2 linked regions of the Neurospora crassa OR74A genome follow. The protein of the gene in region 1 interacts with the protein of each later gene in a pairwise test. Links are inferred from orthologs where the notes say so. Each region holds a gene or a part of one and is shown on either strand. Other genes may lie near its edges. The genes, in order: cot-2 and mak-1.

Evidence for each region.
Region 2: the proteins of cot-2 (region 1) and mak-1 interact in a two-hybrid assay, tested with the Saccharomyces cerevisiae proteins (2 studies listed by BioGRID). The link is inferred for Neurospora crassa OR74A from reciprocal best matches to the Saccharomyces cerevisiae genes SMI1 and SLT2.

Annotation. Positions count from the first base shown.
Region 1 is NC_026505.1:5,143,874-5,148,140, reverse strand, and holds the start of cot-2 (glucan synthesis regulatory protein), read left to right. Parts: upstream 1-1,209; 5' UTR 1,210-2,271; coding exon 2,272-2,279; intron 2,280-2,358; coding exon 2,359-2,402; intron 2,403-2,472; coding exon 2,473-4,019; 3' UTR 4,020-4,267. UniProt on the Saccharomyces cerevisiae protein: Protein involved in the regulation of cell wall assembly and 1,3-beta-glucan synthesis, possibly through the transcriptional regulation of cell wall glucan and chitin synthesis.
Region 2 is NC_026505.1:5,919,654-5,924,216, forward strand, and holds the start of mak-1 (mitogen-activated protein kinase MKC1), read left to right. Parts: upstream 1-1,519; 5' UTR 1,520-2,187; coding exon 2,188-2,300; intron 2,301-2,423; coding exon 2,424-2,556; intron 2,557-2,626; coding exon 2,627-2,693; intron 2,694-2,758; coding exon 2,759-3,073; intron 3,074-3,134; coding exon 3,135-3,748; 3' UTR 3,749-4,563. UniProt on the Saccharomyces cerevisiae protein: Serine/threonine protein kinase involved in a signal transduction pathway that plays a role in yeast cell morphogenesis and cell growth.

The sequences.
Region 1 (4,267 bases):
TCCCAGATTTGATGATCCAGAACTCGGCCAACTTTTTCATCACCACGGGCAGACTTGTTTCTTTTTTCTACAAGTTGATGAGCAGCTAACTGAAGTCTTCTCTCAACTTCAGAGACACTCAACAGACTTGGATTCTTGGCCGTGATGAGAATCGATGCATTTTCATCCAGGTGACTAGAAGTGGTGAATGTTTTGCCCAGGCTGTATCAACAGGGGCAGGACCGATTTGACGGTATGTAACCGTAATTTTGTCATAAACAAGCCTGGCAAATGCGTTTGAGCAAGGGCCAAGGGAAGGGACAAAGCTTAGAAAGTCTTGGCAAGGGGCATTTGTGCGCCGTAGGAGAAATTGCGCGCGATAGACAGGTACCTGAGCGTCATGCACAAAGTGATGGGCAAGTCAGGTACCGAGGAAACGCGCTCAGCGCAGCATCATGCTGCACCTCACCGGCACCTTGAAGTCCCTGAATGATAGGAACACGCCCCGCCCCGGGCGTCGCATCGCAGTCGCAGTCGCAGTCGCAGTCCAGGCCTGTCGACCTGACGGAAGAGGGCCCGGCCGGACAAGACATGACATCGTCGTCGACAATCGCGGCAGTTTGCTCTCACGGCCCTCGCATGCTCGGCGTCTTGCGCGCAACAGTCAGCCGGGCGGACAACGCATGGCAGCCGTGTCGGTCGGAGACAGACATGTGCAATCATCAGTCAGCCGAGCAACGGTGGATCATCTGTACGCTCCAACGGTGACCGATCAGCATCCGACAAGTCCGCAGTTCTGCCCCCGTCCCCCGCTACTGTGTACTATGTAGACTACCAACCCCACCATGTGAAGACGGGACTACATACACTAGGAAAGTGGAAACCCCAGAGAGTCCAGCTCAACAATGGCCGGGACGGGCCATTATAGTCTGCCCGTGCTAGCATCAAGGAATATCTGAAGAGGAAGAGAAATCAGCCAGCTGTTTCACAATCTGGCTATCCACTCACTACAACACTAGAGAAATATCAGGACAATGCCTGGGCAACGAGACGGAATGCCGAGAGGGGATGGGGAAGCACAAATGGACAATGCAATTGGAAGGGGGAGGGGGAGAATAATGGAAAGGGCGGAAAAAAAAGGGGTGGGGTGCATGGCCAACAAATGATATATCGTCCCTGTCTGAAATTGGCCCTCCACTCTCAATGGTTTTTTTGTTTTTGCTTCGATTTGTTCCCTCTTTCGTTGCTGAGGTGTCACTTCGTCACCGTGACTTCAGTTGCACTTTTACTTCCCTTGGGTCGGTCGCCCAGACTTTTGACTTGCACACTAGTGAAAGCACCTTGACCGCCCGCCCAGCATCAGTCCACTGCCTCCCACTACATCATTGCCGCTTTTTAGTTCCAGGTTTGATTCTATCAAAGCTCGGGTGCACCGCTCGTCCTGACCGGATCTTTACTTTCCCACTTTACACTTCCACTTCGTTGTCCAACAACCCACAGACCGCATATACCACTCTCTTTTATCCTTTGCCCGTTGTTTTGTTGTTGTTTATTTGGTCGGTGTTGTTGTTGTTGTCGTCGGTGTCGTCGTGGTTCCCTTGTTCATCTGGCAACAACCTAAGAGTACCTGTAGAAAGCGGAAAGTCTTTCACAAAAAGAATCCGGGCATTCTTCTCCATCATACACCCCCCCTGCCCTGCCACTGCAGCTGCACTAAAACTTCGCTACTAAAAAAGCCTCTGCGCGCCGGGTAGCCCCGTACCAGGTACCACCTCTACTGCTGCAGCCAGCGAGATTCCGTCCGAAAAAAAAGGAGGCCGCTGCAACATCCTTACAGTAGCTTAGCCGGTTCCTTCCTGCAGCCAAAGGTACCTACCGCAAAAGCCATCCATCCAACTACCCGCCCTTACACTTTTCCACTCGGCGTTACGCCACGGCCGCCCTTTAACACCCATCCCACGAAATCACAGGTCGACGACGAACTTGGCGAGAGAAAGGCGACCGACGATAACACTCTATTCGGTCACCGATAAGCACAACCACTGCTGGAGTGCGGATTACCGGGTCCACCATCTTCGACGCGGTTTCCGGAGCCTTCGACGCTTGTTCCAATCCCGCCGAGCAACTTCGGCCGACGGCGCGTCGAACTAATCAAGGGAATACCCCCCCTTGAATCTTCGACTCTGGTCCTTTGTCCTCTCCTGTCACCAACGACGGATTGCAAGACCAGCGCAATTCCTTCTCCCGATTTCGAGCCTCTGACCGCATACATATTCTATCTGATTGCCCAAAATGGCTGGGTGAGTCGCAATCCGCTCCCTCGACACCGCTTGCGGTGAGAGTCCTTGGCTGACCGAGTTTCTTGTTATCCTCTACCAGCTTATTCAAGGACATCTGGCATGCTATGACCAGTTATGATCGACGTTAGTGCTTTCTTCCCCCCTACTTCCCCGTCCTCGGTTCGATCGCTTACATGTCATGGTTGGGAAACAGATGCTGGCATCGACTCTCCTTACCGAACTGGACGTCATGTCCCATTGAACCGGAACTCCGGTCTCGCGGGCGTTACTACCGCCTCCGACTCGCGTGCCGACATCAACTCGCCCTACCTTCAAGGAGATGGCCGTGGTTCTACCATGAGCTTCGACACGGCCTACGGTGGACGCGCCATATCTCCCATGCCGAGTCCCGCCAACGGTGGCCCCTATTCGCCCGGCCTAGTGAGCCAACGACAGTCCGTCCACCAGGACGCATTCGATGTACACAGCCCAACCGGCGAGATTCCCATGCAGAACTTCCAAAATGGCGGTCCGCCTCCCCCACCAGTCGCTAGCTCCTGGGAGAAAATTGACAGATGGGCCGAGGAAAACTACCCCGAGTTGTTCGACCAACTTGGCGAGGGCTGCACCGTCAACGATCTGAACGAACTCGAATACCAGCTTGATTGCACCCTTCCCCAAGATCTCAGGCAATCCTTGCAAATCCACGACGGCCAGGAGCGCGGTGGTCTTCCCACTGGCATTATTTTCAGCTCCATGTTGCTCGACTGCGAAGAGATGGTTCAGGAGTGGGAGAACTGGAAGACGGTGAACCAAGAGTTTATGCTGGATCCCGTGCTCGTCAAGCGACAATCTCAGGCATTTGCCGCTCAGGCCTCATCATCAAAAGATGCCCCTAACCGCAACCAAAACTGGCGACAAGAACTTCTCAACAAGCAGGATTCCGTCCCCCCGGCCGCGATTCAGAAGGCGTATGCGCACCCTGCCTGGATTCCTCTCGTTCGTGACTGGGGCGGCAACAACTTGGCTGTCGATTTGGCGCCTGGACCAAAGGGCCACTGGGGTCAAATCATCCTCTTTGGTCGCGACTACGATACAAAGTACGTCGTGGCCCGCTCGTGGGCGCACTTCCTTGCCATGGTTGCCGAGGATCTCAGCAGCGGGAGGTGGTTTGTCGATGAGGACACCAACGAGCTCAAGCTGCGTGAGTTTAAGGCGACCCGTGTTGAGCCGTCTTATTTCGAGATTCTGAGGTGGAGAATGGATCAGAAGTATGGTCGCACAGCCAACAAGCGCAAATCTATGGCGCCTTCCATGGCGTCAGCTTCCGGCATGCGCTCTCCCCCCACTCCCGGCTCTCCCTACCAAAGCCCAACAGAGCACAACGAGCCTCGTGGCCGGTCGCTACACCGTCTCACTGGCACTTCACCCATGTCGAGTCCCATCCGACCAGGTTACGGAAAGCCAAGCCCATTGGCGCGCGTTGCTGAGGAGGCACCCCCCACAACCTCTCTCACGGCTAGCAACGCCTCCCTCGAGGCCAAAGCCGCCGACAACTTGATGGAGTTGAACACCCCAAGGACAAGCGGAGAGCATAGCAAGGAGGATATCAAGGTCAATGAGGATTCTCCCGCCAAGGAAAGGACAAGCGAGGATAAGGAGAAGAAGCCTGAAACCGAGGCGAACGGAAAGGCGACGGAGTCAAAGGGCAAGCAAACGACAGTCGAAGACGCCGAGGACATGAAGGATATCGAGATTTAAAAGGGAACAAATCGAAGCGACCCAACGAACTCGTCAACTCATGGGTCACCATTGAGTAGCTGGCCCAGCAAACTGCTTCCTCACCATGCGCAGGGCACGGAGTCAGACAAGGTGTAATGTTTCTCCCTAATCTGATATCTTGACGCCTCCTCGAGCCAGTTGTCCTCTCTTGGCCGAATATAAGGGCCATCGCATGATGAAGGGGCAGGTCACGAATCTTTCTCTTCCAATTACTTCTTCCTCGCCAC
Region 2 (4,563 bases), about 780 kb from region 1:
GAGTGAGTTGTCTTGGGTTCATGGACATCACTTCGATCGGGTCAACAGCGGCTTATAACCTCCTCATCACGAACGGAGGGAGCTCGGTGTCCGTATTTCGGACTTGCACAACGTCCAAAAGGGTCTACTACTCTGAGTGGTCTATCTACGATGATGCCGAGGTATTGTGAAGCTCCTCTCGGTGAAGGCGTCGACATCGCGGCCTATTCTGGCGACCAAGTCTATGCATCTAAAACTGCATCAGCCCTACGGCACTGGGGAAGTCCAGGAACGACCAGGGAGTCAGTGCGGCCACATGTTGTCGGCATCAGCCGGCCGGTTGGGTCAGGGGAAAACTGGGATCCTGTCCTTTCGGAAATCCTCCAATGCTGGTTGACGGCAGTTCACCATTAAAAAAAGACTGTTGGGAGATTATAATTCAAGGCGAGGGTTCGGAGAGGGCCCGCCGTCCGGACGGCCGCCGGATCACGGATGAAGCTCAGCCCCGGAGCTTGCCTTGCCCGGGCCCAGAGGTAAGCACTCCCAGGTCTTTCAATTCGGTGTTGTCCGCAAACCGTCACCTTGACGCCCTCAGTTAAAGCCAAGATCTGCCGAGGCATAGTGTACATGGACAATCAAACTTTATGATTTTCCACCTCGTTTAAGCAGCAAGCAACGATCCGTAAACAATGCGTTCCCCCTTCGAACTCATCGAGATGATGGTAGTGATGATTGCGAATCTTTTAGACGCCGGCCAGTGGGGAGGCGGCCGTAGTCGCGCGCCAAAACCAAAAATGGCCGCCGGAGGAGGGTTGCAAATCACAGCGGGGACGCAGCGGGTGGGGTAGAATCAGGTACCGTTCCCTTGTGATTTCCGCTGTGGAGTGACTTTGCAGTAACATTTGTTGACTGGGCAAGGGGAGACCGCCGCCCAAAACAGGCGCCCCCAAGCCAGGCGATCCCTCTGTTTGAATTCTCGGTGTGTTTTTGTTTTGTTTCAAGGCGGCAAGCATTATGGTAATGGCCTTGTTCTGTTTCGACGGGGGGGTGGTTTTTTATGGCTTTATAGTTGTTAATGCGATGCTCACGGGCCTAGATTTCATTGCATTCAAGGATGAGAGAGGCCGCCATTGTAAGCAATGGAAACTACCTAAGTCTTGGACGAGTTAAACGTTCAGCAATGAGTAGGTACTTAGTACCCCTGGGCAATGATGGATGGGAAAGTGGAAAGAAGGACAGGAAAAGAGGCAACCAGCGACAAGCCTGAAAACGGCCATCATTCGTCAGGAACCGACAAGCCGCCATTCGTCAGTCACGTTGGTTTGTTGCACTTTTGCGCCCGCTGACATTGGCGGGCTCTTGGGAATGGAAGCGGACCCCGCGTTGCCTCACAGACAGCCCCTCGCTCAGGTCCCGTTCTGGTGCCGGGATCAGCGCAGTGGTCGGTCGCATGGTCGGGGTCCCTCGGCGCCCCTCTTTCCTCTCCTCACCATTCCAGTGTCCGCTTCGAGCCCAGGGGACCTAGGTAGCCACTGCACCATTGAGGTCCACGGCCAAGCAGGTCCTTGACTTCGCTAAACACGAGCTTCTCTTCAAGCTCTCCCCTCGTCACTGCTCGTTTTCCACTTTCAATGATATCCATCGTCGGTTTAAACAACCTAAGCTGCTCGAATCCCGTCTCCATTGCTTCTCTTAAAATACGCCAACCGTAAACTAGCAATCAATAGCACCAAGTTGAAGCCAAAGCGCAAGCTCAGCTCCGGCCCAGTCAGCAAATTGCCCGAGTAGGTGGCACACATATATCCCATCACGCACTAGACTACAGTATCCCAGGGGCTTCCGACTCTTCAGTAGTGTACTTGTGCCAAGGACCACCCTACCCTCTGCAAACCTCATTTGATCATCACCACTTTTTTCCTCTTTCTTTCTTTCTCTCCATCTCTGCCTGGCTTCAATGCTACATTAGCCGGTTGTCTATTGCCTTGCTCCCGCCTTTTCAATCTACATCTTACTTTTGTCCCGTATACTCTTCCTCGACACTTCTCAAATACCCCCGTCCGAACTTCTCAAGACATTGATCGCGCTTGAGCTTACATACCCCACGACACCACCTCCAGGCCGTTGCCAAACTTGCGCCTAAAGGTCACCCGAACCACCTCTCTCTCCAACTACGAACCGTCCCCGAAACACCACACAGACACATTCGCCATGGCTGATCTCGTGGGTCGCAAGATCTTCAAGGTCTTCAATCAGGACTTTATTGTCGACGAGCGCTACACCGTCACCAAGGAGCTCGGTCAGGGAGCTTATGGCATTGTCTGGTACGTCCACCTGCTCCTGCTCCCGTTCCTGCTTAGCCGCTTGTGCTTTTGGGCCGCGGCGCATCTACATGTGTCATGCCATATTCTCATGATTCAAGCTGACCTCCCTTTCCTCCTAAACAGCGCCGCCGTAAACACCCAGACGAACGAGGGAGTCGCCATCAAAAAGGTCACCAATGTCTTCAGCAAAAAGATCCTAGCCAAGCGCGCCTTGCGCGAGATCAAGCTCCTCCAACACTTCAGGGGCCACCGTAACGTAGGTTGCTCACATACACATATTACAATCGATGCATGGTAGCTGACCGTGGCGATTTCTGGTTCTTTAGATTACCTGCCTCTACGATATGGACATTCCCCGGCCAGAGATGTTCAACGAGACCTATCTCTACGAGGGTACGTCATGGCTCATGCCTCACGAGAAGATGGGCCTACATACTAACCTGGGGGTTCTTTTGCAGAGTTGATGGAGTGCGATCTTGCTGCTATCATTAGGTCCGGTCAGCCACTTACAGACGCCCACTTCCAGTCCTTCATCTACCAGATTCTTTGCGGTCTCAAGTACATCCACTCGGCAAACGTTCTGCACCGTGATCTCAAGCCCGGTAACCTGCTGGTTAATGCCGACTGCGAGCTCAAGATCTGCGACTTTGGTCTTGCGCGTGGTTTCTCCGTCGACCCCGAGGAGAACGCAGGTTACATGACGGAGTACGTTGCCACGAGATGGTATCGTGCTCCTGAAATCATGTTGTCCTTCCAGAACTATACCAAAGCCAGTATGTCTTTTCCTCAAGCTGCCCCCTTGATATCGTTTTCAGGCTAACACTCATTCCTTAGTTGATGTATGGTCCGTTGGCTGTATCCTTGCCGAGCTTCTCGGTGGCCGCCCATTCTTCAAGGGCAGAGATTACGTCGATCAGCTGAACCAGATCCTGCACATCCTCGGCACACCGAATGAGGAGACCCTCTCCCGTATCGGCTCTCCTAGAGCTCAGGAATACGTCCGCAACCTGCCTCCCATGCCCAAGAAGTCCTTCCAGCAGCTCTTCCCCCAGGCCAACCCCGACGCCCTCGATCTCCTCGACCGCATGCTCGCCTTCGACCCTACCAGCCGTATCAGCGTTGAGGATGCTCTCAAGCACCCCTACCTTGCCATCTGGCACGATGCCAGCGACGAGCCCGACTGCCCTACCCCCTTCAACTTCGACTTTGAGGTTGTCGATGATGTCGGCGAGATGCGCAAGATGATTCTCGATGAAGTCTTCAGGTTCAGACAGCTTGTGCGCACCGTGCCCGGTGGTCAAGGACAGGGCGGTGCTCAACCCCAGGCTCCCGCTCAGGTGCCCATGCCTACTGATGTGCACAGCCAACAATGGACTGCTGAAGATCCTAGGCCACATGAGTATGGCGCGTACAACGGTGGCCTGGAGGCCGAGCTTGGTGGCATGTAAGCAATGACGGAAGGATGAAACCTTTCTATATACGATAATGAGAACGAAACGCTGGTTCGGCAAGCATCTGATGCTCAAACACATCTTGGGTTGATGCCTTGGCTGCAAAAAACAGAAAAGACGACGACATAGTATTATCGTGTTGGAAACCCCCCGAGAAGGGAACGGCTCGCCATTGAGGCGGTCTTCAATGACAGAGTGGGACAGCAGTTCTGGTCGGGCTGTCAACAGTCAGCCCTAGGAAGGCACTTGGAAAAGCAGGCGTCAGAGGCAGACCGGGAGTTCTTTTCGATGTCTGGCCAGATACCAGAGGGTGGTGAGTGGCTCACCGGAGAGACTCTTTCTGTATCTCATTCTATTCTCCTAGTCAGGAGGGAGGACTATGACTAAGTGGAAAGTTGAAGCGATCTTCAGCGAGGACTTTGGAGCGAGATGTTTACGTTGTCATTTATAGTCATAATTCTATTGGATACGCTGAATGTTGACACTGCAATAAAGCTCTTGATCGTGGTGGCGTCGTCCAGAAGAGTCCATGGTCACGCAATAAGCCTGGCATTTGGAATGGCTTTTACTGATTCTCCTAAGGTATCTATCTCGAGGTATCTAGTCCCAACCCCTTATTTTATGTGACCGTATGTATACTTTTGTGAGCCCAGATTAGTACAAAAAGCCAAAAAAGAATGTTTGAACGCCGACGCCATGCAGGGCTTGATATCAAGAAAAAACCATGATACCTAACCGAACCAAACCGAACCAACACATCCGGGATCCTTTACCCTCTCCATTTTTTTCCCCCTTCCCCGTCCTTCCTGCTT